Arabidopsis thaliana: one gene and its partner. The protein of the gene in region 1 purifies or fractionates together with the protein of each later gene. This does not show direct contact. Each region holds a gene or a part of one and is shown on either strand. Other genes may lie near its edges. The genes, in order: AT1G17160 and AT1G72810.

Region 1 (16,597 bases):
TGCCTTCCTCCACTGCTCGGTTTGAACCCTGAGCTTCTTCATCTCAGCCTCTAAAGCATCTTTTGCTTCTTCCATGGACTCAAGCTTCTCCTTCAGGTGAGCCGTCTTTGCTCTGCTTTCTTCTAACTCTTCCCCAATCCTACTCACCTTTGAAACCATCTCATCTTCATTAGCTTTCACATTAGAAATCTCTGAAGCTGAATCGCTCAACTGATTCTTCAAGCTCTCGTTTTCTTTGCCTAGTGATTCATGCTCTTTCTCCATGTCATAGAGTCTAGCTTTCAGCATCTTTATCTCATCTTCCTTTGCAACCAATTTCTCAGCTTCGTCATTGCCGCTTCTCAGTTCTTCTTCTTCTACTGCAATCTTTTCAACGGGAACCTCAAACACATCAGTCTCTTTCTGCACATCACCAGGGATTTCGTCTCTATCAATCCTCTCAGCCTCAGTTGCAGATTCCTCCACTCGAGCCAGCGGGTTTGGTTTCTTGGACTTCTTATGAAGCTCATCTTGAGCTTGTTTCTTCACAGCTTCAGCATTAGCCAACTGCTCCTTGAGCAATCTCAGTTCCTCTTGCGCTTGTCCTAACTGCGACTCTAGATCCGATATTCGTCCCCCAAGTTTCTTCTGACCAAGCGGATCACTGTTAGGTCCACCGCTTCGAGGAGATTTACGGTCAACACCGGGCTTAAAACTTTGATCCGTAGTGATCAGACGGTTGGAATGATTGGAATCAGAAGTAGATGACGATGACCTCAGCCTTGGAGCTTGCCTCTGAGACAACTCTGAAACTCTAGAGAAATACAAACAACAACAAAAAATCTTAAATCACATCATTACTCATGTGAGAAAATGGAGATTTCTTAGTCAAAATCGTAACCTTGGTCTTGGCATTTTGATTTCGTGTTGAGGATATAATAAGCAATAATTCACAACAGAGAAGCCAAAGTTGCTGGAAGCTCGAAGGTTTATGGAGTAACTTGTATAAAACTGAAACGTAAACAAAATCAGTTGTCATTTATTACAGCAACAACCAAAGCCATGACTCATGTCGGAAAATTCCGGGGAACTGAGATATGATTATAATCACGCGCCGTCAAAAGCGCGTGTGTATCAGTGTATGATATGTGTGAGAGAACAAGAGACAGTAATCTTCAAATGAGAAAAACCAGAAACAGAGAAGAGAGTTGTCAAAGCTGGGAACTTATAAACTTTATTTTAATGTTCGTTTGCTACATTTAATAAGCAAAAGGATCCAACTAAAAAGAGTTAAAACTTACCCTCGAAGAAGAAGAAGATGAGGTCAACTTTGCATTTGAAATCCAACAAGTGACTAAGAGAAACTATTAAAAATGGTCAAAGAAAGATTTGCGTTGGCTGATTGTGAGTCAGTAATAGGAACAAGAACATAAAACCAGAAGAATTACCCAAAAATGAGCAGAAAAGAAGAGAGAGAGATAGAGAGTTGTAGTGTAACGCATGTACCTTTTCGAAACAGACAGCTTTATTTGAAGACACTCTCTCAATCCAAGAAGCCTAGACTAGAGAGAGAGAGAGAAAGAAATGGTTTTATTTTATTTTTGAAGATTTGAAATAAAGCTGATCAAATTTAAAATCGAGGGACCATTGGGTAGGAGAAGGGCAAAAGTATAATTTTAAGTCTTGTAATAACGTCCACATATACACACACGTAACGTAACCATGATGTATATAAAGTCCGCATGTTTCATTCTTTTGTTTTATATTGTAAACCATCTTATAAAATGATCTAAAAAATGTAATTTTAATACAAGAGTGAATGTGAATGTTCGTATTGAATATAGATGTTATTTCTCAAATTTATAAGCATCATGTAAATTTTGTAGTTTTTGTGAGTTTTCCCTAGATATATATCAATATACGGTATGTGCCTTTAAATGAGTACAAGGTAAAATCATTGAAGTACAATTTCAAAGATCAGTAATAATAATGTATATAAAGTTCAGGAATTAACACTAAAAGCCTAAAACCATCAATATGGGATATTTAATTTTTGTATATTTATTTTGTAATAGATATATCCAGAGAAATGCATATAAATGTGGATTTATGTCACATAATTAGTTTCAATAGTTTATCATAAATACACACACATGTATATTACCTACATATCAATATTTCTGACACTCTTGTTTCTTTTTGTCGGTTTTGTACATGTTTCAATTTACAAACCTCTATTTTATTATAAACCTTCTCTAATCTCGACGTTTCTTTTTGTGATCTCCAACACGTCGAGAAACCAATTTGATGCTTCTTATAAGGAAAAAATGAAAACGAGATTACAAATTGTATTATTTTATGTAGATAGCATTGAATCGCCGTTTAATATTTGATGGCATGGGTGTCCATATCAATAAACAATTATTGTTAATTTGTTACCAAATAATTTGGATTTCATGTTTTGGTCAATGTCATTAGTTACTATACTAGTTGTAGCTGGCTCTATCATTTTGTTCAAAAATGCTATACGAAATCACTCACCTTAAAATTCAGTTCACGGCCTTAAAAAATCAGTTTCATTATATATTTGTTAACAACTTAATATGATCATTTCCCATTTCGAATATAAACGCAATAGAATTCGACCTAACATGGGTTGATCAAAAAGTAGAAATGCGACTATAATAAATAATTTAGAGCAAACATATTTTTATTAGTTGTTGGAAATTAAATGTAAATGGACGCTCTAAAGTAAGAAAAAGGTGAAGTGTACTTATTCAAGAATGAAAGACAAAAGCATGTGAGTAGAGGAACTCTTAAGTAAATCACTTCAAGGCTAAAAAAACCCTTAAACTCCCAAAGATGACCACCACTCTCACTCACACTTCAATTTATGTTCTCTCTTCTCATTTAATATCAAAGAGACCAAAGCATGTGTATCTTCATTTTTGTCGTCCTTTCTTGACATTTCCTCAACTACTAACTAACTATTCTTTTACTCCTTTAGCAAATCCCCCATTCATCACAAACTCTTCCAAACTATTGCTTTCATTGATAAAAATACATGGAATTGCTAAAATGGCAAAATCCCTCATTGATGCTAAGGTTTTACCAATAATGGAATCTCACGGAATCACGATTTATATTCCCCTTTTTTGTAAATTATATTCTTCATTTCATTTTTGTGCAATGCTTACCATTCATAATAATACAACCAAACAACCAACCTTCTGTAGGAGGAATTGAAAATCGTTTTGGTTTTTCTTATTGGCACATGTATGAAGTGATCAACATACACCCTCAAAACTAACTAACAATCTAAAACCATTCACTCCCGCTAACATAATATAAACAAAAGACTATATAACAACTTTGAAGCTTTCCTCTTTACCTTTGGGAACTCTCTATTGCCATGTAACTTCCCTGGAAGTCTCACCGCCGCTATCATCAGTCATATCTGATCTTGTATAGCTGATTCCTGCTCCTTGAAGGTAATGGTTACTATCCTGTTCTATGGCATTGTAATGACTGTTGTTACCATTGTCTGGAACAAGGTTTTGTGATGCAAGGTTAACGTTTTGATTCGAAGAAGATACGCCAACCATTTGCTGACGTTCGGCAAGAACAGCAATTGCACAAGCTAGCCCACCTGATGGAGATGATGATGACGGAGTTGATGGTTCCTCATTACGATCTTTTTCTGAAATATCATCAGGTGATGTGTTTCTCTGAATTCCTGGTTCCTGTTAAAGAAAGAAAATAGTTAGGCTTATCTTATTCAGATAAATGCTATATACTTCAAAGTTTACTAACCAAACAAATTACCTGCATCGAAAGCCATATTGCTTCCATGACCATTATATCTTCAAGATCAAAGTCAAACTGACCGTCCCTGAAGAGTTTTCCAGATAACCACATATCAGTCACCTGATATGAACCACTCAGATTCAAAGTTCCAACACGTATTACCGTTGTGCATATAACTTTAGCCAGAAAGGAATGATCTGAAAATGTAATACCATAACTGACTAATAAGAGACAATTTAAGAAGGGGTTCATTTTTAAGTTTTAACTGTAACGGTTCTCGAAGCATCAAAGTTTCTCAAGAGATAGGACTAATACAAATGAAATTTAACAGCTAAATAGAGAAAAAGGCTGTTCATACAACCCCATGGCATGGATACTCATAAAAGTCATTTAGGTCCATTTCTAGGAAAATGACAAACCTTGTAACCTGAGGGTGGTGAGATGGAAGACATGATTCTTGAGATGAAACAATTTCCTCATCATCCTCTGCGTAAAAGCTACTGATTGAGATTGCGAACCAAGAATAACAAAAGTGGTAAAATTTAACACATGTTGAAAGTTGAAACCGAGAGAAGAACTAACCTGCAGCAGAACCATACTCTGTATCAAGAGTCGCTGCACTAGTGCTAGAACTAGAAGAATATGACTCCAGACGTTTCTGCATTCTTTCTTCATCATCTTCAACTTCCTTCTGCCTCATCCTTATTTTGGCTTCTATAACTCGCTGCTCTTCCTTCATAACACAGAGATAACAATATTGGCAGAATCAGCCAGTAATTCCATCACATACTCTTAAAAACAATACTGTTTCAAGATTTAAGTCTGGCTTACAATTTGTTCAAAGCTCTTCTCCTCTTTAGTTTTCCCTCCACGATACTCGACAGCATAATTGGATGTTTTGCAAAAAGGGCATCTTACATATGATAAGGAGGACTCAAAAGTAGACATTTTCATATGTAAAGAAGACCAAAAGCTTAATGCAAACTATAAGAAAAAGGATACTGAGTAGGTTGAGCTGAATTAGGACTCTTCATCCGCAGAAAGCATTCTGTATAAAACCAAACACAAAGTCAATGACTACACCGGATAAGAAACATTCTATAGTTCAGAGATGACTAACAAATACATTTCTTCACCTGTACAAATGCTTTTCATACAACATCTTGACCTATTAAGACTCGGATAATACTAGAAACACAGAAGAACAAAAAATTGCATGAGAGTTGGTCAATTTCATCTTCTTGAATGAGGAAGTAAGCAAAAAAGGAAAGACTTAAAACAAACCAGAAAGCAAATAGGACATTCTTCAAGATCATGATGGGAGGAGGGGGTTTCTTCAAGACCAGGATAACAAGGAGCAAGCTTAGACTCTAAGATGAGTTTCTTAAGCTTTTTAATGTCAACATCTTTGCTCATGTATAAACCTTGTTGTGGCTTTGTGTATCTTTCGTCCACAATCTGTCTCTTCCTTCCCAGCTTATTACCCATTTCGTCTCTTTAAATGCCTTGAAATTAAGATAGTAGAGAGACATAATAAGAACACTCAAATAGAAATCAATTTCACTTTCTACAATTCACAAAACGCAATAAAGAGCTTGTAGCAATCCAAAGCCATTTCCTTTTTTCCGAAACTAACAAACAAAGTTTAAAACCCTAAATTCCAACCGTTGATAAGAATTGAAGCAACAAATCTTTTCAAACAGAAGAAAATTTGCAAACCCTTTGAATATAAATGAGTAATAAAGTTTGAGTCAGAGAAGAAACCTTAAAAGCTTCGAGAATCGAAGAGACTTAGATAACGAATGATAAGAGAATACAAAGATCAGAACTTTTCCTTTGCGAAAGAGATATACAGTAATGTTGTCGTCGTGAAGAAGAAAGATCCGATGAAGAACGAAGAACGAAACGGTGGAGTTAGTCGGATACGAAAGAAATGAATCGTCGTCATCTCTTTTGTTTTCACTCTTCCTCTTCTTTATCGTCACGCGCCCCTCTCGCGCGTTAACTTTCTCCACGCTTCTTCTTTTTTTTTTTGTTCCTTCTGATATTTTGTCGTAAAATCTGATAGACTATTATTGTTGCAAATATTTATTTCAAAAAATAATATAAGGGTCGAAAAAAAACTTTCAAAAAAAATAAACAAACTATGCTACTAATGATTTTATTGATTGTCTTTTTTAAAAAAGTGAAAGATAATCTACATATACATTTTTGCAGCCACTTTGTGAAATAAATTTTCAAGTTGAGACTTATTTACAGTGGCTACCACTGGCATTTAATAATTGTTTTTGATAATTAGAAAGTAAATCTTCGAATTAAATGTTTGCATTTAACTACCTTTCTAAAATCTCTCTGCATTAACTATACCATTAATTACTAAAATAAAATTTCCAAAATATTTAATATCATTTAAATACTACAAAATTATCATTTTTGATATTGCTTTTTTTATGACTATAACAATTCGATTATAAGCAGCAAACCGTAAAGATATTTGATAGCAATTAATTACTACAAAATTACAAAATATTTAGACAATGATTCATAAACATATCATAAATAAGATCAACATTAATAAAATAAATAGTTTTTTTTACGAGACGGGTTGGCGGGACGGGTTTGGCAGGAAGCTACTTAATAACAATTGTAAACTATAAAATAAAAATATTTTATAGATAGATAAAATTTGTAAACTTTTATATATACTAACTTTAAGGAAATAAATTGTCTCCGCGGTATACCGCAGGTTAAAATCTAGTATAATACATTAATGCATTAAGCAAAAAAAAAGAAGTTCACCTTCTAAGGAACATTCGTGTTTCACATAGGCTTGAGATAATAATATTAAACCCAATGGGCCTTAATATTGTGGGAAAAAAAAGAACGAATTATTAGTCTAGTCAATGGTCTGACCAAAGATTATACAATTCGCCGACCGGAGGCATCTCTCTGAAAAAACTATCGAACTCCGTCGTCTCTACACCTCTTTCTGCTTCTTTTCCTACGCCACAAAACCGCTGTGATGAATCTTTGCCACCGTACCCTTGACCGGAGAATTCATAAGGACCGTCGGCGACGACTGCGTTTTTACCTGTGAGTTCTTGAACAATTGTCTTGAAGCTCCGAGCATCTGTCTGAACGTACTGTGTGTTAATGAAGACAACCTTCATCGGTTCAGATCTCACTCCTGCAGACATATTTTTGGCGTTATATGAGATTTTTTCTTTTGGTTTGCTCTATTGAGTAGTATGCCTTTTGAATCTCCCCGATATTGGTTGTATTTATATGTGTAGATAAATATATGGGAATATATATAATATTTGTGGGGAGACCGAACTTTTATCATTTTATTGATTTTTAGTTATTGTTTAGAAACATTTATTATCATGGGGACTCCTAATTAGTATTATGAACTATATGGATAAGAGAGCAGATTCTTTTATTGATATAGCATTTATATTCTATATCCATAGTTGTGGATTGGAAAAGAATATTATTATATAGATCGAATGATATTTTGATTCTAGAAATTGCTTACGTGTGGAGTTACGATCATATGCTTTCATGACTAATGACTAATTATATACTGATTAGATATCAGGGAGTGGCTCAAATTTTCCACTATTTAAAGAAATTAGAATCAACTAATCAAACGTTTTTTACCAAAAAAAAAACTAATCAAACGTTGCATATAATAAAATCTATTTTAGAGTTTTTGTAACGACGGGGTCAACTGAAACTGGAGATTGTCACTTATTTCAAGAATTTCTATACACATGTGGGGTTTATTTTTTGCAACGTTTCACCAATATTTTTCATTAATTATTGATAGACAAATCTGATAGTTTTTTTATTTTATTTTTACACTAGTTTGTTAGATGTTTTTATGTTCATTTGTATGTTCCTTGACCATAAGGAAATTATTTTGTGGTCTTTTCAATTTTATTGTATTGGTCTTTGACGAGATTCTTGTACGGGTGAGACAGGTTTGACCGTTAACATTCAAGCAGCCTTGACGGACCAAATAATAAATGGGCTTTTGTTATTATTATGTGACCTTTATTTAATATCGATCGAAAGAATCAGTATTATATAGTGTAATGGGTCAAAGCACGCCTTATTTGATGGAATATTGGAATCACATTACATAACGTGAAACCAGCCTAAGATGCATACATAATTTACATATGCAGAACAGGTTTTGATATCTTTAGAATACTATAAGAAATAAGAAATTTGGAGTCTATGTGACTACGTTACTCAGTAACAAAAAAATGATTCCTCAGCATTGGTATATAAGCATATTTCGATTTTTGTATTATAGATTCCTTGATATGTATATAACTATATAAGTGTTTTTTTTTATATTATATGCAAACTAAAAATAAACTGTATACAGGTTTTAGTAGTTGATTTTTTTTTTCCTTGATATTTTTTTTTCTAAAAAAAAACAAATTCTTTCTAAAATCTTCATACAGCAAGATAACGATTCATATATTACTATTTAGTAGTTGTTTTAATAAAGGTAATATATATTTATTTATTTTTTGGTCAAAATAAAGGTAATATATATAGTAGTTTTTTACTGCATTGATGTAATTTGTTGCATGATTTTAAGAATATTTGATACAACTAATCTCACCAGATCAAGACCCCAAAGACAAATAAAATATATGAATCGTTATCTTGCTGTATGAAGATTTTAGAAAGAAATTGTTTTTTTAGCCCAAAATTGGTATAACAAGAATCAAATTTTTTTCGCAGATTTCTTAGCATATATAGTTCCTTACGATGTATTTCTTTTAAAAAGACCAAATCGTATTGTCTTTTAAAGAAAGTACAGATTTCTTTGTTATTTCAAAAATCCAAAAAAAAAAAAGAGAAAGGTTGAAAAAAACAAACAAAAAGAAAAACAGAGAAATAAATAGAAGCATGCAGTGCCAAAAGAAGAAGATGGCGCCGTGCATTGATTTTGTGTTCATGGCTTTTGGTTTGCTTCTCTTGCTCATCGCCGTCACAACAAGTCGCCCAATCACTCGGCCAAAAGTATTCGACGTTCGAAGTTATGGTGCTAAAGGTGACGGTAAAATGGATAACACCAATGTAAATGACATTTTCTGCTTTCTTTAACTAAATATTCTTTCTCAACTTCTTCATTCATTTCACATAGAATGTCGATTGACTCAATAAAAAAAAAAAATAGGAATAAACCTTTTATTTCCAAAAAAAAAGAATAACGGGCTATTTACTTGCTTTTTAATATTTGGATTAATTAAAATTAACTAGTTCAATTTAACTACATATTTTCTATTTAGTTATTTGAAGAGCGTATTCATTTATGTGTGTGTGTGTAACAAAAAAAAATTGAATCTTATAAGTTACTAAGAGTTTTTGTCTTACAAATAATCTACCTTCTTTGGTAATGTCTCATATAAGGCGTTCACAAATGCATGGAAAGATGCATGCAGATGGAATGGACCAAGCAAAATGTACATACCACTAGGAACATTCTATCTTGGTGGTGTAACGTTTGTAGGACCATGCGATGGTAAGATCTCGTTTGTCATTGATGGAACTTTGTTGGCTCCTCCGAACAACGACGACATTAAAAAGGAAATATGGATAAACTTCCGCTACATCAACTATCTCACGGTCTTCGGGGATGGCACCCTCGACGGCCAAGGAAAAAAGTCATGGTCACTAATTGATTGCCAGAAGGACAATAATTGTCCCAAACTCGCTATAGTACGTACGCTTTCTTGAACTTTCTTTTTATAGCTACTGTTTTTATGGATCAAACTGAATATTTTATGTCATTATATATATATATAACTTTTAAAAAGAGAATCTTGAAACATAAACTTGATTTAATCATATTTTCATGGTGTTTTGATACATTTGCAGAATATGGGGTTCGATTTCGTAAAAAACTCAAGCATGAATGGGATAACATCACTCAACAGTAAAGCCGGACACTTCAATTTCTTATCCGTTGACCACTTCAGCATCACTAGAGTCAACATAATAGCTCCCAGCAATAGTCCCAACACTGACGGAATCAAAATAGCTTTATCAAGTAACATGCAAATCTCAAACACTCACATCAGCACCGGAGACGATTGTATCGCAATGCTCTCTGGAAACACAAATTTTGATATCTATAATGTCAAGTGCGGACCGGGACATGGAATTAGTATTGGAAGCTTAGGAAAAAACAAAGACGAAAAGAATGTTAATGGTTTAATGGTTAGAAATTCGGTCTTTACCGGTACGACCAACGGTATACGGATCAAGACATGGGAATCTTCAGCTTCAACAATCCGAATTATCAATTTAGTGTATGAGAATCTACAGATGATAAATGTTGAAAATCCTATCGGCATTGATCAAAAATACTGTCCTTACCCGCCATGCAGCAATATGGTAACTTACTATGCAAGAAACAAATTTCTATCTTCTTAGAATCTTCATCGACTTTAAAATTAACATGTTAGTTCATGTTTTATCGCAGGGAGATTCTCACATTCAGATCCGAAACGTGACACTAAAGAACATTTGGGGAACATCAAAGAATAAAGTGGCTGTGAAATTTCAATGTAGCAAAACCTTTCCTTGCAAAGATGTTCAGTTAATTGACATTAACTTAACTCACCATGGAGTCGACGGTCCTGCAAGTGCGTTGTGTGAGAACGTTGATGGATCTGCTACTGGGAAGATGGTTCCTCCGCATTGTCTAAGTTGATCCAGTCCAAACATAGTCATGTACTCATGTTGTTTATTTTTTGGTTAACATATAAATAACATTAATGATCATAACAAACATGGATATATCTTTAACTTACATATAATTCTCAGATATGTTTAGTTGTTGGTTCTGAGTTGTGACATAACAGCGATTTCATAAAAGCCAAAAATCAAATAACGATGATGAAAGGGATCTCTTCAGTTTCTCAATCGATCAATTATAATCCATACATCGAATTCAATCGACCGCAGCTTCAGATCAGTACTGTGAATCCCAATCCAGCTCAATCTCGATTTTCCCGCCCTCGATCCCTCCGTGTTCTCTCACTCTCCGCCGATCCATCGGCAAATCGGAATCCTAAATCAGCCGTTGACGCACACGCGCCGCCACTGGTGGTTGTGGGATCTGCGAACGCCGATATCTATGTGGAGATCGAGAGATTACCCAAGGAAGGGGAAACGATTTCGGCCAAGACAGGGCAAACGCTCGCCGGAGGAAAAGGCGCGAATCAGGCGGCGTGTGGAGCGAAGCTAATGTATCCGACTTACTTCGTTGGTCGTTTGGGAGAGGACGCGCACGGGAAGCTAATAGCTGAGGCGTTGGGCGATGATGGGTGTGGGGTTCACTTGGACTACGTGAGATCTGTGAATAATGAGCCGACGGGACACGCGGTGGTGATGCTTCAGTCGGACGGTCAGAATTCGATCATTATCGTTGGTGGTGCAAATATGAAAGCTTGGCCTGAGATTATGAGCGATGATGATCTTGAGATTGTGAGGAATGCTGGTATTGTGCTTCTGCAAAGGGAGATCCCAGATTCCATCAATATTCAAGTTGCTAAGGTCCATTTTTTTACTTTCTTGAGTTAGTTACTTCAGTGAGAGTTGGTTTAGGGTTTAGGGAAGCTCTGTTGAATGGATGCAGCTGCTTTAGGTTTTGAAAACTATGAGAGGTTTTGGAATAGGGTTATAGAGTTGATTATGTTTGAAATATCATGTTCGAAGAAACTTAGGCTGCTGGTGGGTTTTATTGCAGGCTGTGAAGAAAGCAGGTGTTCCAGTCATCCTTGATGTGGGAGGAATGGATACGCCTATACCAAATGAGCTATTGGATTCCATTGATATCTTGAGCCCCAATGAAACTGAGCTCAGTCGCTTGACAGGAATGCCAACTGAAACTTTTGAACAGATTAGCCAAGCTGTTGCAAAGTGCCATAAGTTGGTAAGTCCCTTTCTTGCACATTATTAACTCCAAATTTTGGCTAATCCTTGCTGCTACTGGACTCTTTGAAAATGCTGGTTTAGTGGCTTTTGGGTTTAAAAGGTTTAAGGCTATGTTTTCCTCAGGGAGTTAAGCAAGTTCTAGTAAAACTCGGGTCCAAAGGATCTGCACTATTCATACAAGGGGAAAAACCAATCCAGCAGTCTATCATACCGGCTGCACAAGTGGTTGATACTACAGGAGCTGGGGATACTTTCACTGCAGCATTTGCAGTCGCTATGGTAGAGGGCAAGTCCCATGAGGAATGCTTGAGATTTGCTGGTAATAATTAGTGACATAAATCTGGTTTTCTAACCCGTAATTCAGATTAGTTTTGTCTCACTTTTTTCCGATGCCTGCAGCTGCAGCTGCCTCTCTTTGTGTCCAAGTAAAGGGTGCAATACCGAGCATGCCTGACCGAAAATCTGTTTTGAAGCTCCTTAAATTTAGTATCTAAAACTGATACTCTTTTCAAGTCCTCTTATCAATAAAAGTTGTTCAGATTTCATCCTCTATTTTCATTTTTTTTTTCTTTTTCATTTCACTCAAATTTTATAAACAAAAACACAATTCACCAGAAACAAGTCTTAGTTAAGTCAATTGTCCAAAGCATGCTGACGCAGGCAGTGGCCTAAGCAACTAACGAGAATCTCTTTTTTCTTCTTCTTTGAAAGCAACTATCGAAAATCTTTATAATTAAATAAAGATTAGCGTACAACACTCATTTCTCACATAAATCTGTTGTCAAAATAATATAACTTGTATTTAACAAAAATATGTGAACATTACATTAAAAAAACTGAATACTGATCAATATTAAGAACCTAAAAAGTAAAGAGGGAATTTTTGACTTATTATTCGCAAAACTCATAGTATTGATATGAGTGACACCCAAACAAAAAAATGATGTAATCAAGTGCGCCAAAAGGAAAGAAAGAAAACAATCCGACTTAAAGAAGACAAACAACGAACAACAACTGTAGAACTAATTTAATACAACTTTTTTGGCTTTAAGAGCAAGCAAAATGCGATTCAAAACCCCTAAAAATTACCAAACATATTTTCTATTCATCACACATATAGACACAAAACAGCAAACGAGAGAGGTCGTAGTGAGAGCTTAATCAAGAGCAACAATGGCAGATGAGGTGATTCTTCTGGATTTCTGGGCGAGTATGTTTGGGATGAGGACAAGAATTGCTCTGGCGGAGAAAAGAGTTAAGTACGATCACAGAGAAGAAGATCTATGGAATAAGAGCTCCTTGCTCCTCGAGATGAACCCGGTTCATAAGAAAATTCCGGTTCTCATCCACAATGGTAAACCGGTATGTGAATCTCTCATTCAGATCGAGTACATAGACGAGACTTGGCCCGACAATAACCCTCTCCTTCCCTCCGATCCTTACAAGAGAGCTCATGCCAAATTCTGGGCCGACTTCATCGACAAAAAGGTAGAAAATTTACGGTTTGGTTTTGGTTTATTTTGTTGTTTCTAGGTTTTGGTTTCGGTTTAAGTATTTTGGATTGGTTTGGTTCGGTTTCTTCCGCTAGAGTCTCTTGTGTAAGTTTTTTGTTTTTACCAACGGATCAGGTGAATGTTACGGCGAGAAGGATTTGGGCGGTCAAAGGTGAGGAGCAAGAAGCAGCCAAGGAGTTAATCGAAATACTCAAGACGCTAGAGTCTGAGCTTGGAGACAAAAAGTACTTTGGAGACGAAACTTTTGGGTATGTAGATATAGCTCTCATTGGATTCCATAGCTGGTTTGCAGTGTACGAGAAGTTTGGAAATGTCAGTATCGAATCTGAGTGTTCGAAATTGGTTGCGTGGGCCAAAAGGTGTTTGGAGAGAGAGAGCGTCGCTAAAGCCCTGCCTGAGTCAGAGAAGGTCATTACATTCATTTCCGAACGTAGGAAGAAACTTGGGTTGGAGTAAATCTCTACTTTGTTATGTTGATCTGTTGTTGCTTTGTTCTATTTTCTTTGAGGTCTATGTAATGCATAATAATACCAATTTCAATTTGTGAGATTATATTTCCCTTTATGTAAACTCGATTTCAATAAAAGAAACTTTGTTGTGATGTTCATTCAATGGAGAATTGTTGGTACATTAATCTGGTTGCCATAACGGCGCTTGCTCTAATACCAAAATCGACGTAAATATATGATAAAGATTAAATTCGTTGATTCAATGAATAACCTCACATGTGAACAAGATTTGACGATCGTGATTCAAAAAATATGATTAACTTAGTTAAATAACCAGGAGAAATGCTAAACCGGTCGAAAAGAAGAATACAAGAATGAAACAAACTAAGTGAAAACTTTGAGCCAAAGAAAAAAAAACTGAAGTGAAACTAAACCGATTAGCAAACCCCGATTAAGAACTTTTTAACCAGACACATCTAAAAATCGTTGGATATTTGGCCCAAAGATAAGTCATTTAATCATTTGATTTTTGAAGTATTGGAAAAAATGTTAAAAGCAAATAGTTATTATATCTTACCATGCAAACTCATTCTACACCGTTTATTTGTTTAATCGTTTATTGGTTATTTTATTTTTGTCGTTAGATGCACAAAAGATACAAGAATGGGGACAATGTGAAATGGGAAATGGATGCCAAACACATATAATGAGATATGCATATACTCTATATTTTTAAAAAAGAGGTATGTATAATTGTATATTAATCAATTTTATTAGGTTTCAGACAGCTAAAATTTGTTTTTTTGTTTTTTTTTCGTCATCCTTAAAGTAAATATAGTCCTAACCAAAGAAAAGTAACCAATAAAAAGTTTGGAAAAAGTGAAGGTAAAAAGGTATGATGGCGTAAGCAGTGGCATAATCAATTCAACTCTGTGAATCATGTGGTCAATGTCTTGAACCGCAAAACATTAATAAATGAGTTGTTCAACTAAATAATTGTATACTACTCGTTACCAATCTCTAGGTTTAAGCTTTCTGATTTAAAATTTGTCACATAAATTTTACACCAAAATATTTATTAATTCCACATTTTAATATAAAGTACGAGAAACTTTACACGAGAAGAAATCAACATGAAATTTCAACATATAAATTACAAACCCCCTTGATAGTTTTTTTTTGGTATGTATAACCCCTTGATAGTTGATATACTCATATTCAATAACACAAAGTATTGAAGCTAAATAATCTCTGACGACTTTTAAACTAAAGCTAATGAAAAGAAAATGTTTAATCAAAAGTTTATTCCCTTCATATTAAAATGCTTTAGTGCGATGAGATTTAGTGTAATGGGCACGTTAATGCATTTCTGACTTTAGCGGCAAGCAAATGCGATTTCGTTTGTAGTTTTGAGTTATTGTCTCCTCTATAAATTGACCAAAACCTTGTTCTCTTCACCATAATATACTTAGACACAAAACAAACAAACAAAAATATCTTAGTGAGCTTAATCAAGAACAGCAATGGCAGACGAGGTGATTCTTCTTGATTTCTGGCCGAGCATGTTTGGAATGAGGACGAGGATTGCTTTAGAAGAGAAAAATGTCAAATTCGATTACAGAGAACAAGATCTGTGGAACAAAAGCCCGATTCTCCTCGAGATGAATCCGGTTCATAAGAAAATACCGGTTCTCATCCACAATGGTAATCCGGTATGTGAATCACTCATCCAGATCGAATACATCGACGAAGTTTGGCCTAGCAAAACCCCACTTCTTCCTTCTGATCCTTACCAAAGAGCTCAGGCCAAATTTTGGGGAGATTTCATTGATAAGAAGGTAATCTATCTTCCAAAAATAAGCTTAAAAATCAAACCCTTCTTAGGCAAGACATAGACGTTAATATTTCGTATAATGTGCTTAGGTGTATGCTTCAGCGAGGTTGATTTGGGGAGCTAAAGGCGAAGAGCATGAGGCGGGGAAGAAGGAGTTCATCGAGATACTCAAGACACTAGAGTCTGAGCTTGGAGACAAGACTTACTTTGGAGGTGAAACATTCGGTTATGTTGATATAGCTCTCATTGGATTTTACAGTTGGTTTGAAGCGTATGAGAAGTTTGGGAGTTTCAGCATTGAAGCCGAGTGTCCAAAACTGATTGCTTGGGGTAAAAGGTGTGTGGAGAGAGAGAGTGTGGCTAAGTCTCTTCCTGATTCGGAGAAGATCATTAAGTTCGTTCCTGAGCTAAGGAAAAAACTTGGGATCGAAATCGAATAGATTCTACGCTGATATGTTTTTATGTTTCTGTTTGTGTTGCTGTTTCTGCTCTGTTTCATGTTCTGTTTCTTCCTTGTTTCGGAAATCTTTAAGATAATGTCATCAAAATAATACAAATATTTACTTGAAAATTCGGTTGGGGTGGTTAAGCATGCGTAATACGTTGCATTAGCTTCAATTTTTTAGATCTTCATTGCGATGATAAGTCTAGTAAACCGAATTAAACCAGTACCAAGAAAATCCAATCCAAAATCTAAAACAATCGATTTGTTTTATTTTTTCTTTCCCCTTACTAATTACTATTATAGTATTATCAAAACAAAGCGTCAAAGAAAAAAAAAACTAACAAACCGACTACATTGTTGATTTTATTAAAATAGATTTTGGTGGAGTGCCAAATCTGAATAAATTATCGAGGCTGTACTAAACCAAAACTAATGAGTAATGACAATTACAATTTGTAATCTTTGTTTGATAGTCATAGACCAAATCAACTAATTTCAAACATTGGACTGAATCCTTTATAATATAGCCCATCCGAATATCCAAAACATAATGGGCTTTTGGGCCCAAAAACAAAATCAGTGTGTTGAGTTTAGCCGTGAT
Region 2 (16,597 bases), about 22 Mb from region 1:
TTGCCGAGACTCAAACTCAAGAACTGGTCAGATGTACCGAGTAAAGTTGTATATAGTCAACTAGTACATATTTGAACATTATACAATTAATTCAGATATCCTCTACGTAAAATGCGCAATGTATTTTCATGTAATAAATAAATATATATGCAAATTGATGAATTTGACATAGATATTCAACTAAATACGTCAATTATCCGATTGCTTGTCTCCTATAAAAAATCTCTAAAATACTCCAAAGACATATTTTTTGTTGTAAAAAATGTGTAAATTAAAGTAAGAATCCACAGAAAGAAAAAAAAACAAATAAAAATGACCAAATCCAAGTCCCCAAGCATTTTAAAAAACAAATATCAATCCAAGCAAAAGCATAAAAGCAAACACATTACAGCATCGTAAGCCAACCACTCTTAAACTAAAAGTTGTCTTTCTAATCAAAAGCCAAATAATAGAAAGAGTATGGAAGAAGATGATGGAGACGCGTCTACGCCGTTTTGGCTTCAATCACGCCGCAATAACACTTACTTCCGCCGCACTGCAAGTCTCGGTGGCCGTACAACCACCATCGCCACTCAAATATTCTTCGCCGGAACAGCTGCAATCCTCATAGTCGTCTTCATTATCCCTCCTTTCTTCTCCTCTGTTTCTCAGATTTTCCGACCTCATTTAGTCCGTAAAAGCTGGGATTATCTCAACTTCGTTCTCGTCCTTTTCGCCGTCCTTTGCGGCTTCCTCAGCCGCAACACCAATAATGACGAATCCAATCATCACAAAGAAGAAGACATTCGTAACAAATTCTCGACTTCACCATCGATTATTGATCGAAGAAGTCGTGTATCTAACAGTGGTACAACGCCGCGTTATTGGAACGATGATCGCGGTGGTGGCGGCGGTGATCAAACGGTGTACAAGAGGTTTAGTAGATTACGAAGTGTTAGCTCGTATCCAGATCTGAGGCTCCGGGAATACGAAGCCGATGAACGGTGGAGATTCTACGATGATACACGTGTAAGTCAATGCCGTTATGAAGATGTAGATCCGATCTATCCAAATCAAAGTTACAGAAACTGGCATGAGGAAGGTAAACCACCGCCGGAAGATGTAGATCAAACAGAGGACGGTGATAATGGAGAAGGAAGTAAGGTCCGTAACGGCGGTTCGGAAACTGAGAAAGTTGAGGTGGTTGCGACGGCGGAAGCTGAAGTAGTAGAAGAGCTAAAAGTGCCTTCTGCTCCGCCGTATATTCCGTCTCCTCCGCCGTCTCCGCCACGTCCTCCACCAGCGAAGCAAGCGAAGAGAAAGACTAATAGAGTGTACCAAGATGTTTCTCCACAGGAAGAGAAGAAAGAAAGAGATGATTTTGTAGCGACGACGACGCCGATTCCACCTCCGGCGACTGTGTATCAAAAGAGCAATAAACAGGAGAAGAAGAAAGGAGGAGCAACGAAAGACTTTCTGATTGCGTTACGGAGAAAGAAGAAGAAGCAGAGACAACAGAGCATCGATGGCCTCGATCTCCTCTTCGGCTCCGATCCTCCATTGGTCTATTCACCACCACCGCCGCCGCCTCCTCCACCACCTTTCTTCCAAGGGCTTTTCTCATCCAAAAAAGGTAAAAGCAAAAAAAACAATTCAAATCCACCGCCTCCTCCTCCTCCACCACCACCTGAACGGAGATATGAATCACGCGCATCAACCTCGAAGCTCCGAAAAGCTCCGGTGGAATCACGGACATCCAAACCAAATCCGCCAGCTAAAGTAACTCAATACGTAGGCACAGGAAGCGAATCACCACTAATGCCGATCCCGCCGCCGCCTCCTCCTCCGCCGTTTAAAATGCCGGCTTGGAAATTCGTGAAGCGTGGAGATTACGTCAGGATGGCTAGTGACATCAGCATAAGCTCCGACGAACCTGATGATCCGGATGTAGCTCAATCAGCTGGAAGTAAGGAGGCCGCCGGGAGTATGTTCTGTCCGAGCCCCGACGTAGATACCAAAGCCGATGATTTCATCGCAAGATTCAGAGCCGGACTCAAATTGGAGAAGATGAACTCTGTGAAAAGAGGGAGATCCAATTTAGGACCCGAACCCGGACTTCATGAATCCGGATCTTCAACGGGTTATAGGCCCAGCCCAAGCGTATAGAGGCTATTTCTTTTAGATTTTGGATTTTTGGATTACTACTGTGTTGGTTTTTTTTACCTTACTTTTGTTTAGACTTTCTTATACGTAATTTTGTGGTGTATACAATTCCTAGTATCCGTTTTTACAGTTTTTAGCCCATCTTGGGATGAACCAAAAAAAATCTCTATACAACTAGTTTTTCTTGTAATACTCTCCATTTTTATTTTATTTTGAACTATGTTTGGATGGAGAACTTATAGCTTTGAAAAATATATTCAATATTTTTAGAAAAAAAAGAAAAAAATACTATAGCTTTAATTTTATATCATCAAACAAGAAACAAATTGATAGGTATTTATAAATATTTAATTTGATTAACTCAACTTTTTAATACACAGCCAATTGAAACCCCACTTCTTTGCCTTTTTTAGTCGATTCCACTTTTTTTTCCCTTCTAAATTAATGAAAAAACTTTGTTAACAATAAAATACATAATTAAAAAAACATTTGTAATAATTTAATAATTTATCAAAAAAATAATAATATGGCGGCAATGTTGCGTTACAAAAACGCCATCTTTTATGTAATTGTAACCTAATAACAGCAACGTGACGATGAACCACCACCGAGTTGCGTTAGAAAAACGCCATATATCTTTTATGTAACCTAATATATATATCTTAAACAACAGGCTTGGATTATTGTCTCTCGAAAACCTAAAATCGCTCTTTCTCTTTTCTTGTCATCTTCTCCATGGCTGAGTCTAGCAAGTTATCCGCAACCACAGTTGAAGCAGCTCCTGCTATGATTAAGGCCAAAGACGTGATTTCTCCTTCCGAGAAGGAAGAATCTGATCAGACGGAGATCACGAAAGTATCCGTCTTGAAAAACCTTGATGAGAAGGAGATGATCAAAGAATTCGCTGATCGTCTTCAGCGTCTCGAAGCAAAGGTGGATTTGTTGGTAACAAAGGCGGATTTGTTGGCAATAAAGGCGGATATACAGGAGCTTCTCATCTCAGCCAAGGGTGAGAAAGTTCCTGCCATGAAGACTTCTGCTAAGGCTTCTTCTGAGAGCGATGACTCATACATGGACACTTCTTCGGAGGATGAATCGTCTTCTGCTGAGGAACCTGTAAACAAACCTGCTGCAAGTGCCGCCAAGCCAGCTACTAAAGATTCTTTATTCTCTGCTGGTTTCAAGCCAGCTGCTAAAGATTCTTTATTCTCTGCTGGTTTCAAGCCAGATTCTTTATTCTCTGCTGGTTTCGAGCCAGCTGCTAAAGATTCTTTATTCTCTGCTGGTTTCAAGCCAGGTTCTTTATTCTCTGCTGGTTTCGAGCCAGCTGCTAAAGATTCTTTATTCTCTGCTGGTTTCAAGCCAGATTCTTTATTCTCTGTTGGTGTCAAGCCAGCTGCTAAAGATTCTTTATTTTCTGTTGGTGTCAATGGTCGATCGTTCTCTGTTACGGGATTTGACGCTTCCCTTCCTGTGGATGATATAAAGAGCGCATTGAGTAAATATTTCAGTTCTTTTGGGGAGATCACACGCGTATTTGTTCCCCCAAGCCACGGAACCGGTGGTTCCTTAGGATATGCTTACATTGATCTGAAAGAAGGAGCAGAGAAGGCGTTGGAACTTGGTAGACATGACGTGGGAGGATGGGATCTTGTAGTTGGTAAGGCTGAACCGATTCGCAGTGGAAGTACTTGGCCTTTTCCTGGCCGTTGTGGTAATCAGGGCCGTTGTACCTTCTGTTGAAGGCTTGAACCTTTGGTAGTGCATGAAGGAAGAGACTGCTCGTGGAACTAGATCACCTAGTTTTACTCCCTAAAGTAAGAAGACTACCTAGAAGAAGAGGAACGTTTTAAATTTGTATTACTTGGGAGTTTTTTCTTATGTTCTAGTTAAGTTTTTGACCCAATGTTAATGTTAACTCAATTTTGAGTTCTTTTGGTTTTAAATAAGATGAAAAAAATTCTTGAAGTTAATTTTCTAGATAAGTTTATTGTTTCTTAAAAGATTTAAAAGAAGAGGTTAAAAGACAGGTCGTGAGTACTTTTGTTAAGAGCATATGTAAAACTCAGTAGTAGTTTGATATGAAACAACTAGCGAGCATCACGGAACCAACCAGTCGTTTTATTCCACAAGTCCAAAGAAACGAAATTTCATTACTTCCTCTAATAACAAAGCCAACAATATCATCATAGGACGTGAAGAGCTTTAGAAGAAACAAACACACAAAGCTTATTTATCATTGCTCTTCAAATACTCCTTGAGAACATCCATAACTGAACCAAACTTTGCCTTAACCTTCACTGGTGGATTCGCCAATCTACAAGCCATCTCCTTTATGTTCTTAGAATGATAATCAATCTTACTTTGTGTAAACTTCAATCCATGAGCTGTACTCACCACCACAGTCCGATCATTCGCTCCAATAACTCCTGACTTTCTCAGCTTCATCAACGCCGTCAATGCAACACCAGTATGTGGACATATAAACATACCAGTAGAATCAGCAAGAGCTGTTGCATCCATCAACTCTTCCTCTGTAGCTTCCTCAACAATCCCATTAGATTTCTTCAACGCATACACAGCTCTATCAATCGAAACAGGGTCACCAATCTGAATAGCAGAAGCAAATGTAGTGTTTGCTTTCAATGGATTGAAATCTTCTTTAAACCCAGATTTGTAATGCAAGTAAAGTGGATTTGCATTAGCAGCTTGAGCACAAACAAGCCTAGGGATACGATCAACAAGACCTAACTCTTTACACATATGAAACCCTTTGTAAAACGCATAGATGTTACCAAGATTGCCTCCAGGAACAATGACCCAATCAGGAACTTGCCAATTAAACTGCTGCAGAATCTCAATCGCCGCCGTCTTTTGACCTTCGAGACGGAGGCTGTTGAGAGAGTTCGCCAAGTAAATAGGAAGCTCCGCCGTAACTTCTCTGATCAAATGCATACATCCGTCAAAATCAGTGTCAATACTAAGCACAAACGCTCCGTTTGCAATCGGCTGCACAAGCTGAGCCATGGAGATTTTATCCGCAGGTAAGAAGACAATCGAGGGGATTCCAGCGGAAGCACAGTAAGCAGAGAGAGCAGCGGAGGTATCTCCAGTAGAAGCGCAACCAACTCCGATGACTGGTTTGTTCATTTTCCGGAGACGATTCACCTGAGAAACAAAAAAATAACATAAAGTTGTAAACTTTATTGAAGATGGTTATACAGTTGTAAACTTTATGAAAGATGATTCACCTGAGAAACGAGAACACTCATGCCCAGATCTTTAAAGGAGCCAGTGTGGCTGATTCCACAATGTTTCACCCAAAGATCGTTCATTTGCAGATACTGTTTACCAAATCTCTCAGCCCAGAAGAGATTTGAGTTTCCTTCAAAAGCAGAGACGATGTCGTCATCGTCGATCTCGGGGAGTACCCACTCTTTCTTCGACCACACGCCTGATCCGTACGGCCAATTTGTTTTACCGACGCGAGAATCGAAAAGGTTACGCCAGAATTCTCCGTCGTAGCGTTTCAAGGCGGCGAAATCATGCTGGACGTCGAGGAGAGCACCGGATTGTGAACGGTAGACGATCTCGTCGAGGGAGTAGGATTCTGTTGAAGAAGGTGGAGCGTTGAAAGGGACGTAACGTGCGGAGAGGTTTTGGAGTTGATGAGGACGGCGACGAGCTTCGTCTCGAATGTTCTCATCGGGTGAACGACGGGGTTTCTGTGGAGTCTGTGGAGGAACGGCGGGAGAGGCGGAGGTGCAACGGACGGTGAAGGAAGCGGCGGAGTGAGGTTTAAGTGAGGTTTCAGAGTGGGAAGGAAAGTAGGTGGCGGAGTGGGGAAGAGAGAATGAGGCCATTATGAGTGAGAGAGAGAGTAAAGTGAAGAGTTTGATGATATTGATTGGATAGAAGAATGATTGTTGACACCTTTAGTCACAAGTCACAAGTAATTTATTTATAACCTAATAAATATTGGGACGAAAGTATTCATTTATTGTTTGTTTTTCATTTGTCATTCCAATTTCCAAATTATGTATATATCTCTCTAGTCATGAATTTTCTTTTGATGGTAGAGAAAGCACCAGGGAGAAATGAATCTTTGACGTTCATGAATCTAGTGTGAATTTAGTGTTTAAGATATCAAATATGCAAAAAAAAAAAAAAAACACGTATGTATGGAGTACATGAGACATGTGCCACACATGAAGTATATTCTTATGAGTAAAATGTTACTATTATTTGTATGGATTATTAGTCATGAATTTTCTTTTGATGGTAGAGAAAGAAGCACTAGGGAGAAATGAATCTTTGACATTCATGAATCATGTGTAAATTTTAGTGTTTAAGATATCAAATATGCAACAACAAAAAAAAACACGAATGTATGGACTACATGAGACATGTGCCACACATGAAGTATATTCTTATGAGTAAAATATAATGTTACTATTATTTGTATCTATTGTTCTTTGTTCTTCTAATATATATTTGTGATTTCGTCCCATTTTATTAATCAAATAAATATATTACAAGCGACGGAAACAAAAAATAAATAATAAATGTCACTATCTTTTTGTCATTTTAAAGGACAAAAATAAATAATGAGATGAGACTATGAGAGCAACATTCATACAAAGTAGACGACACTTCATAGTTCATATTAATGTATATAGGTATGGAGTTTATGATCTTAACGTTTTTGGAAAAGAAAAAGAAAGTAAAGGACACCACTAGTTATGGGTCCTCCTTTTCGTCACATTGGGCGGATTGGGTCAAATATACAGTCATTGTGAAAAACCAGCCCAATAAGCTTATACTTCAAATAAAAGACTTGAATTAGAATTGATTCAAACTCTGAATACCTCAACTAACCGTTGTGTGTTCTCTCTAAATTTGGGTAATAGTGTTTTGGGGTTTGGGAGAGAACGACACAATAAATGAGAAGGGATCCCTTTTCTGTATTTTAAAGCGTTTTGATAGGGAACTTGAGAAATTTGATTTCATGATTCGTGTACTTTTTTGTTATGTTTGTGACTCGTGATCTTTTGCTCGATAAAAGCTTTCCATAGTTTTTGTTGGTGCTTTAGTCTGTGGAAACTGCTTATGATTTGGTTCTTTTATCTCCAAGTTGTGGGCTGAAATAATGGTCATCACCAGTTGATACAGAACCAACAGTGTTGTTCGTCACTCAAGCCCATCACAGCTATAATGTTCTTTTTGGAATCAAATCACATGGTTGGAATCAGTCTAAGCTTGTCTACTCACTTTAACATCTAATCTGTTGAAGATAAGGATTAACGATGTAATAAGTAAGCGTGGACCGAAAAAGAAATGTAGTATATGTTTAGGTAGTGGGCATTTCCAAATACTATAGTATTGATTTCTGTTGTATATTTGATTTGATACTAAAATATGTGAAACTCCCAAAGCTAATTAATACTATATTTTTGTAATCAAGTTATGTCAGTAAATGATACAACGACAGAAAAATGATTTCTGTTGGTGTTTGGTAGTATCATACTATTGTCCAAGGACCACCACTGTTCCTATAAATTTAGCATCTCTAGGAGGAACTCTGATAAATCTTTAGATTCTTTTTTCATAAAAAAAAATATAGCTCGAACGATAGTGGAAGTGTAACAGTGAAAAAGAATCAAAAATCACGTGACAGATCACGTGCCTCTCACACTGCCTTCTGCTCTCTTCTCTGCCCAACGACCCAAGGATATGGACGCCACGTCATCTTATCCAAATCACAAAAGCGGATCCATTTTCTCTCTCCTCTGTTGGGTCTGATCCGAGAACAAGATCTTAGCCGTTGTTTTCGATGACGACCTTTTAGCTTTTTTCTATCTCTGCCGTCGATCTTCTTCGTCTTCTAAGAGTGCTCCCAGTTTGTCGCTTTCTTTATCCGTAAGAGTTTAAGACCTTAGTCATGAGTGACACGTGTCACCTGCCAGCATCTGATTTTTACCAGATCTTCCTTATTTCCTTAATAAATCCTTTAATATTCGATAAAAAAAAATCTGTAATTCAATCTTAAATTAAGCAAACCAATTTGCACATCGTGATCATTTTCTGATTACATTTTGCACAATATGGAAACAATATAAAATCCATTGATGATACACTTAGTTGAATCAAAAACTAAAACATTTCCACTTTATTTGTTTCGGTTAGGTCAATTTTAACCGGTAAATTTGAAAACTGTAAATGGCATTTTGTTACATAGAGAAATCAGCTAATCGAACCGGAAAATGCAAGCCGGTTTATAATCTATACCGGTATCTCAATTTGGTATATTTACAGGGGGAAAAAAACCGGAACCCTAGACTCGCTCGTAACAGTATAACTGTATAAGGTCTCATTTTCGTGTGCTCTCGTCGCGATTACTCTCTTTGAGCTCTCTCTCTCTCTTCTAACATCGGTCTTGTATTGGTGCTTATTGGATATCTCCGGCGAAGGAAACGAGTTTCGCGGTTAGATTTTTCTTTATCGCTTACCGGCGAGGATGATCGTTTCTTCGGTAAGGTCGATTAATCGGTTCTGTTTTCGAAGATGTTGTTGTTAGAGTTAGATCCGCATGGTTTTGGTGATCGTTTTGGATCGAAGACGTGGTTCCACAGACGCAAAAAATGCCGTCGTCTCTTGCTTTGAGATTTGGCTTCTGAAATCTTTCCTCTTTCGTTCTCGTTGAATCCTAATTTTTGTTTTGTCTTTTTTAGAAATTTTTGGTCTTTCTAATCCTGGGGATAGGTTACAGTCTCCGATTGTAAATAGAAATTTGCGGCGAGGTTAGGAAAAGTTGTACAGATAGAGATTGAGCTCTGAAACACATCTCAGGAACATTTTTTGTTCCTTGTTTAAAAAAGTTTTTTTTTTTGTGTGTGTTTCTCTGGGTTGGTTAGAAAGTGGCGAAGATGAATTTGGGTGCGGCCGAGGAAGAATCGGCTCAGGAGATTCATTTACCAGCTGATATCAATTGGGAGATGCTTGATAAATCCAAGTTTTTCGTTTTAGGCGCTGCTTTGTTTTCAGGGGTATCTGGAGCTCTTTATCCTGCGGTTTTGATGAAAACTCGGCAACAAGTGTGTCATTCGCAAGGTTCTTGTATTAAAACTGCGTTTACTCTTGTGAGACATGAAGGTTTAAGGGGATTGTACAGAGGATTTGGAACTTCTTTGATGGGAACTATCCCTGCTCGTGCTTTGTACATGACTGCCTTGGAGGTTACTAAGAGTAACGTAGGCTCTGCTGCTGTCAGCTTGGGGTTGACAGAGGCTAAAGCTGCTGCTGTTGCTAATGCGGTTGGAGGTTTGAGTGCTGCGATGGCTGCACAGCTTGTTTGGACTCCTGTTGATGTGGTTAGCCAAAGGCTTATGGTTCAAGGAAGTGCTGGTCTTGTTAATGCATCAAGGTGTAATTATGTTAACGGGTTTGATGCATTTAGAAAGATCGTTCGCGCTGATGGACCGAAGGGGTTATACAGAGGGTTTGGGATATCGATTCTGACTTATGCGCCGTCTAATGCTGTTTGGTGGGCGTCTTACTCTGTTGCACAGCGGATGGTTTGGGGTGGAATTGGGTGTTATGTCTGTAAGAAAGACGAAGAAAGCGGGAACAATAGTACCACGATGAAACCAGATTCTAAAACGATAATGGCTGTTCAAGGAGTTAGTGCTGCGATTGCTGGAAGTGTTTCTGCTTTGATTACAATGCCACTCGACACAATCAAGACGAGATTGCAGGTTCTTGATGGGGAAGATAGTAGTAACAACGGGAAGCGTGGACCGAGTATTGGACAGACTGTAAGAAACTTGGTTAGAGAAGGTGGATGGACGGCTTGTTATAGAGGATTGGGACCAAGATGTGCTTCAATGTCAATGTCTGCAACAACTATGATCACTACCTACGAGTTCTTGAAACGGCTTTCTGCTAAGAACCATGACGGGTTTTATTCTAAATCATAGTGATAACAACTGGGAATCCACATAGAAGAATCTTTTATGGAAATGTCTCTAGTTTTCTTACTTATCTTGTTCTTTATCTAGCTCTTCTGCTATTTCATTTGTTTCCAGTCATATGTAAGGAATGTGTTAAATTCAGTTGTTTTTAAATAAATAAATGTTCTTTCCACATTGGCTTGAATTCAGTTTCCAGGTATCGGTTCACCATAACCGTGCTACTAAACCGACATGATATGTTGCAATGTTAAAAGATGACTTGTAAGACTTTATTTGGCAATTGCAGTCTTACATCAATAAGCACACACGACAAGCTTTGATTTGGCAACATGTTATATTTAGAAGTAATTCATGAATCACTTGCGAAAGTGATATGTACAGGATTGTGACTTTATATATTTCACAATGCTGTCTTTTTCTTTACAGAAGTTAAATTATGATCATTTGTTAGTATTTGAGGGACACAAGTGTGTGTGTATCTGTCCCATAAGTCAACGTGTTTTGGAGCAGTATTTTACGTTTCTTCTTACCTTATCAAAATATTATATCTTAAATAGGAAATAATGCATAGAGACTGCCTTGATATTTTGAAAAAAATATTCATGAACGTGTGGAAGAAATGGTAGTATTTTCAAGTGTATGACATCTTCTCAGACAGATAAAATGAGACTCAAAGTAGAATCTTTCAACCTTTTTTACTTTATTTATAAGAAGTGTATCAAGAATAAGACATAATCTAATATATACTGGATTCTTCATTAAATGTTTTCTTAAACATTGTCAACTAAATTGTAAAATACTTCAAGAATCCGAATGTGTCTCTTCACAGAAATCAATGGAGTGGAACCAGAATCTGTATTTTTCTTCGCCATTTTCAAACAGAATAAGGAGACTTCTTCATTGCCGACACAAATGAAGCAAAAACAAACATATATAAATCCTGAAAAAAACAAAAGAGGAATTGAAAGTTTATCAGAAGAATCATATCACTAGTTTAGACAAGAGATCCATGGTAACAGAAGATGAAAAGGTAATAGAGTGTTTCAAAGTGAAGATCTTGGTCGTTCTTGTGATGTCTAACACAGACATAATATGAAATAAAAACACTGAAGTTACAACAAGCGAAAGAACTAGTAGTAGCCAAGGATGACTTCCCCTTCTTGGTGGGAACATGAACACAGCACCAAGATCCACTGTCTCAGATATGGACAGAGAAATGGTGCATGTCTCCACCTCCATGCATGTCATTAGACTGACCATGAACAAGCATGGCTCGGTTTATCGGAGTTGGGAAACCTGAAAACTGGAATTCAGTGTGTCCAAAGATATCAGCACCGTCGGAAACAGAGGTGATGTCTGAGCCAGAAGTGGTTGAGCTGCGGTCTTTGTTGTTCTGCAGCATATGAGCTTCGAATCTAGACATGTTGGTCTTTCTGTTTACCTGTTGGCCTAACTTGTCCTGTTCTTGTTCTCTAGCAGCAGCCTGTTCGGATTCTTGAAGAAGTTTTTTGGTGTTTAGGAATCTTCCACCAGATCCTCTTGGCCTTTTAAGAGCATGAACATGTCGAGACTCATGAAGATAGGGCTGTTGCAATAAGAAAAAGAAAAGATGAGCAAAGCAATTCTACGTGTATGCGTTTGTTTAAAATATAAACCAAAATTTGGTAACTACCTTACGGGCTCTGATTAGTTTGTTTTGAGCCTCAAGCTTAGCACGTTGCTGTCTCCTCCTCATAATTGCGTGGTATTGCTTCGCATTGACAAAGACTGGATCAGTTTCTGTGAGCTCTGCTGGTAAAGGAACACGACCAGGAATCATACTCACCATTTGAGGATTGCATGTCTGCAAAAGAGATTAAGAGACTTGAGATCTGATGGACAGATAAAACTGAAAGGTAAATCTCCCACTTGGAAACGAAGGGTGTACTTACTGGTGCCTGTGGTAGGTAAGTTGCAGCTAATAAACCACCATAATGTGGATCAGCATAGTGAAATGAGAAATTAGCCTGAACCATGTATAAACATAAGATATCAGTCTACAATCAAAAGCTTTGCTATGATTACTGTATTCATAGAGTTACAAATACCTGTGCAGGAGCAAAGTGAATATTCGGAAATCCAGTCATCGAGCCTTGTTTAGGATTACTTGCAAACCCCTTCCGTTGAGTTATTTCAGATCCTAGAGAAACAACTGAGAAAGTAAGAAAGAGGATAACATTCTTTATGGCAAAAGGATGATTCTTTTGTCAATGACACAAGAAGTAAAACATATATATACCAACAATCTAACCTGATTTAGCCGAAAAGGAGATTTGTCTGGAAGGATTATCATCACCACTACTAGCAACTTCAGTATAAGATTGACCAGTGGACTGTGTTGAAGATGAATCTTGGTCCTGAAAACTGATTTGCTTTGTAGTTTGTATATGCCCAGGTCTTGAATCAACCTTCAAGCTTAGTGATTCAGCAGAACCGCGACGATTAGCAACGGAATCAGTTGGAACCACTCCCCAAGAGATGCTAGTATTAAGGTATGGCAAAGTGGAATGAGTAGCTGAATCTTTCTTATTCAACATCTGATGCATCATAACGTCTTCCTTAACAAGCTAATTATTCTCACAACCAACAACCTAAATAACAATCAAAAATGACTCAAAGATTAGATTTTTAAAGCTAATAATCCAAGTGGGTGAAAAAACCCAGAATAGAAAGAAACAGAAGTTGGAAGTTTCTAAATTTGAGTAATTTTTTAATTCTCTAAACGAACTGATTCGATCGTACTATCTTGGGTAACCAAAACACGATTGCAGAGATCGCTACGATTGGCTAAAATTAGTAATTTTCCGACCAAGAAAAATTTCTTGTTCCCGTCATCACTTTTGGGCAAAAAGTCGTTGACTTGAAGATGAATTATTTTAGCAAGAATTTTTCAGAATCAGTAAACATCAATCGCACGCCACAAGACAGATACACCAATAATCGAACAAAGAAAAAAGGAGAAAAATTTGACAGAAATTAAACATCTTTTTTTCGAACAAAGAGACTACAGATGCAGAAAGAAATAGATAAGAGATAGAGAAAGAAACCTCTTTGAGTAATCGATGAAGCGAAGAAGAAAAACAAGGGATAGAGATTTATTTTTGCATGTCTCCTTTTGTCAAACAGAACCAAAGTAAACCAGTTTGTCTCTCAGAGTGAATCAGAGAGTGATCTTCGTATGTAAGATCTTCTTCTTTCTTCCTTGTTTTGGTTCGTCTCCGTCTCTTTTACCTTTCCTGGGAAACCAACATCGCCATGAGAACCACCACTACACCAGCTTCTCCTTCTGGGTTAATTATTGTCTTAAGTGCTCTTAATTATTCATTTTAAATATCTTAATTTATTTGGTCTCACTTTAACCCAAAACACAGAATAAGGCTCTCTGGCTAACCCTACCTTATAGAATCAATTTACCCCCAAATAACGATTAGAGCAGACTCTTTTTTTGAAAATCTTTATTAATACGAAATCGTCCAACTATATTAGATTCCTAAATTCCCTGACACAGTTTTTAAATTTTATAATTTGGAGGAAAAACACAACAAAAATGATTAACAATTAAAAGCCAACAAATAATGTAATTCTGGAAAGGTAAACGTACAATTCAAGATTTTTTTTTCTCTAAAATTAATGATTCCTATCTCTACAAAGCCGTTAAGAACTTTACCTTTATTTGTTTTTGCTCATTTAGCAGTAATGTATTATGAGCCATGTATTATATATACTAGTATAAGGTTTGTTTTATATTAACTTTTCCCCCATCTTTTGTTACGAATATAATAACTACGGTTTGTTTTGGCTGTATGATTTCTTAATTTCCATTATCTCTAATAATGATTCCAAAAAAGTAATTAGCTATCTTGGCCACGTTAGCTTTTGTTTGATTATATTTTTAATTTGTATGAAGCTTTTAAAATGTTATTTAGCTTTTTGTCCAAAGTGTATTGTCGTTTCCAGACTAAAAACATTTCTGAACTCTGAACAGTCCTTAATTTCCCCCTTATGCCTTTACTCGTTAGTCTTTAGCCGCCCCTCCCCATATTGATGTCACACGCTCTCCTAAGCTCGTGATTCACACGCTCTCCTAAGCTCGTGATTCACACGCTCTTACAATTTTATCATGGGAATAAATAACACGAACAGTTTTAATTTACAAGTTATAGACCTGCAACCAGTTTCCTTGAGTATAATAGTTTAATGAAAGTGTAAGCATGTAAAATGAGATGGGAAAAAGGATTGTATAATACTAAAACTTAGGTTGGGTTCTTAATCAAGTACCTAACCTTTTTTGCAATGAAATAAAGCTCTAGTGCAAGTCAAGCATAGGAATCCCTCCTTTATCCTTGGAAGTAACAAGTAACAACCAAAACATAATAATTGTTACTTGATGTTTTCTTAATTAGTTTTTAGCATTCCTTTATTCCCTCTGTTTAATGTTTATGGGCTTTTAAGCCCTTGATTGATCCATAAGAATTAGGACACGTGGGCACTGGATATTGGGTACTCATCAGTCCGTCATCATCCCATATGCACCAAAATCAAAAGTTATTCACCTTTCTTTGGACCAAAATCAAAGGAGATTCAATGTATTAGTAGTTGTTTTGCAATGATATTTAATGTAACATTTCCAGTGAGAACACAACTCCTGTGGGTTTGGCAGCTCCAACTTTTCTTTCTCCATTTCTAGCCTGATGAAATACCAGAATACAATCTGGTAAAGCTTGTTGAGCAAAAAGGGCAGACATCGAGTACAAAGCAGAAAGAAAAAATTGGTTCTCTTAAAAGGAAAAAAATAAAATCAAGTCACAATTAAACCGAAAAATACCAAACCGATTATAAAAGCAAACCGACACGAGGTTACATGGGTAGTAATTTATTTAGTTCCAAAACGAAAATTGGTACAAATCCTTGTGTTTAGAAATCTGCAGATCCATCATCATCTTAAGAATTGATCTCCGCACCAGCTACTTTAAAACGAACCCAACGTGTTCAACTCCACACAAAATTATCTCGTCGCCCGGCTCCGGAACTTGGATATGGGATTCGAATTGCACCTCATCAATTTCTGCGCTGATGATGCCAGTTGGGATTTGGACAATGACCAGGTGATGCCATTTATATGGTCTATTATTGTTGTCCTCCATCATCTCTGATGATTGATAGAGATTTGGTTTGAGGTTAATCCGATATAACCTGCTACCTTCACAGTCCCAATTATAAGAAAACGCTGGAAACTGTAGATGGAAGGGCTTTTCGCAAACAACCATGATTTGGACAAAGAATCCCACAAGCTTGGGGGCAGCTTTAATCTTAGGTAGTTTGATCCTCATAGGTTCCCTCCATGAGGTTCGCATATTGTTGGTAGAAGCAATTGAGTATTTCGTTATACAAACAAGTCGAAATGGAGCCTACGTGCAAAATGAGAATCAATCAAGTCACAACTTAAAAATATAGCTTATGAGGGGGTTAAAGGGAACAGATTATAGAGAAGAGAGCCTTACCTCTTGAGAATATTCCTCGTTCATAAAGTCACGAACCAGATCGCTAATACATTCTAGACTGATGCAATGGCTAAAGTCCAAGTGGTTGAAAGAATGATTCGAAGAGAAGTTAACATGCTCCAGAGATTCGCACCCATGTGCATAGAGATACTTGAGGCTCTCTGGAAGATCTGTCAGTGAAAAGATTTTGTTGCAGTTGTTGAGGTAGAGAGTTCTCATAAAGGATAACTCTCTGATGCTTGTTGGGATTCTCCTAAACTCGAGGCTGCTGAGATCTAGATATGTTAACTTGGTGAAATGACTAAGCTCCTCTGATAATGACACAAGACTCTTACAGTTTTCAAGGCTAAGCTCAAGCAACTCGTTTCTGCCTGGAGCTGATTTTTCCACACTAAGAATTCCCATCAATGATCCAAGACTCTTGCATTTTTCAACGCAAAAATCAAGCAAATTGTATCTGCCTGCACCAAGAATTCCCATCAATGATCCGAGCTTCACACAGCCAGAAAGTACGAGTCTCTCCACCTGAGAAAGTTGTGGCAGTGCCTTAAGTCTGCGACAGTTACTGAGGCTGAGGTACTTTAACATGGCAAGTTGTCCCATGGATGTGGGTAGATACACGAAATCATTTCCACCGAGGTCCAGTGTCTCTAGGAGCTGCAACTGACATATGTCTTCAGGGATGTCTTCAATGTTTAAGTTTATCAGCTTTAGCTCGGTCAGACATGGAAAGTCTGCAAAGCTAAGACAGCTGAAATTAACAGGATCCAACCTGTAACTGAACCGCTTGATGTCGAGTGATTTCAAACCAAAGAAACCAGAGTTAAGTAGATGTGTTACTGATTGATGAGCGGTCTTCTGCACAGAACTAAAAGACAGATGGTCTCCCGTACCCGAGAGACCCGACAACTTAATGAATATTTTCCCCTGGATAGCTAGATCTGT

The links.
Region 2: the proteins of AT1G17160 (region 1) and AT1G72810 fractionate together in Arabidopsis thaliana (co-fractionation; one large-scale study listed by BioGRID). This does not show direct contact.

Annotation. Positions count from the first base shown.
Region 1 is NC_003070.9:5,856,968-5,873,564, forward strand, and holds AT1G17160 (pfkB-like carbohydrate kinase family protein), read left to right. Parts: upstream 1-10,567; 5' UTR 10,568-10,710; coding exon 10,711-11,373; intron 11,374-11,566; coding exon 11,567-11,752; intron 11,753-11,877; coding exon 11,878-12,073; intron 12,074-12,153; coding exon 12,154-12,248; 3' UTR 12,249-12,469; downstream 12,470-16,597. Other genes in the region: ICR1 (interactor of constitutive active rops 1), read right to left, coding at 1-793, 881-894; AT1G17145 (RING/U-box superfamily protein), read right to left, coding at 3,384-3,722, 3,805-3,871, 4,206-4,272, 4,369-4,519, 4,618-4,699, 4,789-4,834, 4,923-4,974, 5,071-5,274; AT1G17147 (VQ motif-containing protein), read right to left, coding at 6,687-6,983; AT1G17150 (Pectin lyase-like superfamily protein), read left to right, coding at 8,740-8,889, 9,223-9,531, 9,691-10,209, 10,298-10,528; GSTU24 (glutathione S-transferase TAU 24), read left to right, coding at 12,928-13,242, 13,383-13,724; GSTU25 (glutathione S-transferase TAU 25), read left to right, coding at 15,241-15,555, 15,641-15,991. UniProt on the Arabidopsis thaliana protein: Catalyzes the phosphorylation of ribose at O-5 in a reaction requiring ATP and magnesium. The resulting D-ribose-5-phosphate can then be used either for sythesis of nucleotides, histidine, and tryptophan, or as a component of the pentose phosphate pathway.
Region 2 is NC_003070.9:27,394,389-27,410,985, forward strand, and holds AT1G72810 (Pyridoxal-5'-phosphate-dependent enzyme family protein), read right to left. Parts: upstream 6,087-16,597; 5' UTR 6,006-6,086; coding exon 5,394-6,005; intron 5,311-5,393; coding exon 4,372-5,310; 3' UTR 3,886-4,371; downstream 1-3,885. Other genes in the region: AT1G72790 (hydroxyproline-rich glycoprotein family protein), read left to right, coding at 460-2,145; AT1G72800 (RNA-binding (RRM/RBD/RNP motifs) family protein), read left to right, coding at 2,878-3,885; AT1G72820 (Mitochondrial substrate carrier family protein), read left to right, coding at 9,069-10,118; NF-YA3 (nuclear factor Y, subunit A3), read right to left, coding at 11,311-11,697, 11,782-11,955, 12,044-12,118, 12,200-12,291, 12,403-12,700; AT1G72840 (Disease resistance protein (TIR-NBS-LRR class)), read right to left, coding at 15,116-15,559, 15,653-16,597. UniProt on the Arabidopsis thaliana protein: Catalyzes the gamma-elimination of phosphate from L-phosphohomoserine and the beta-addition of water to produce L-threonine.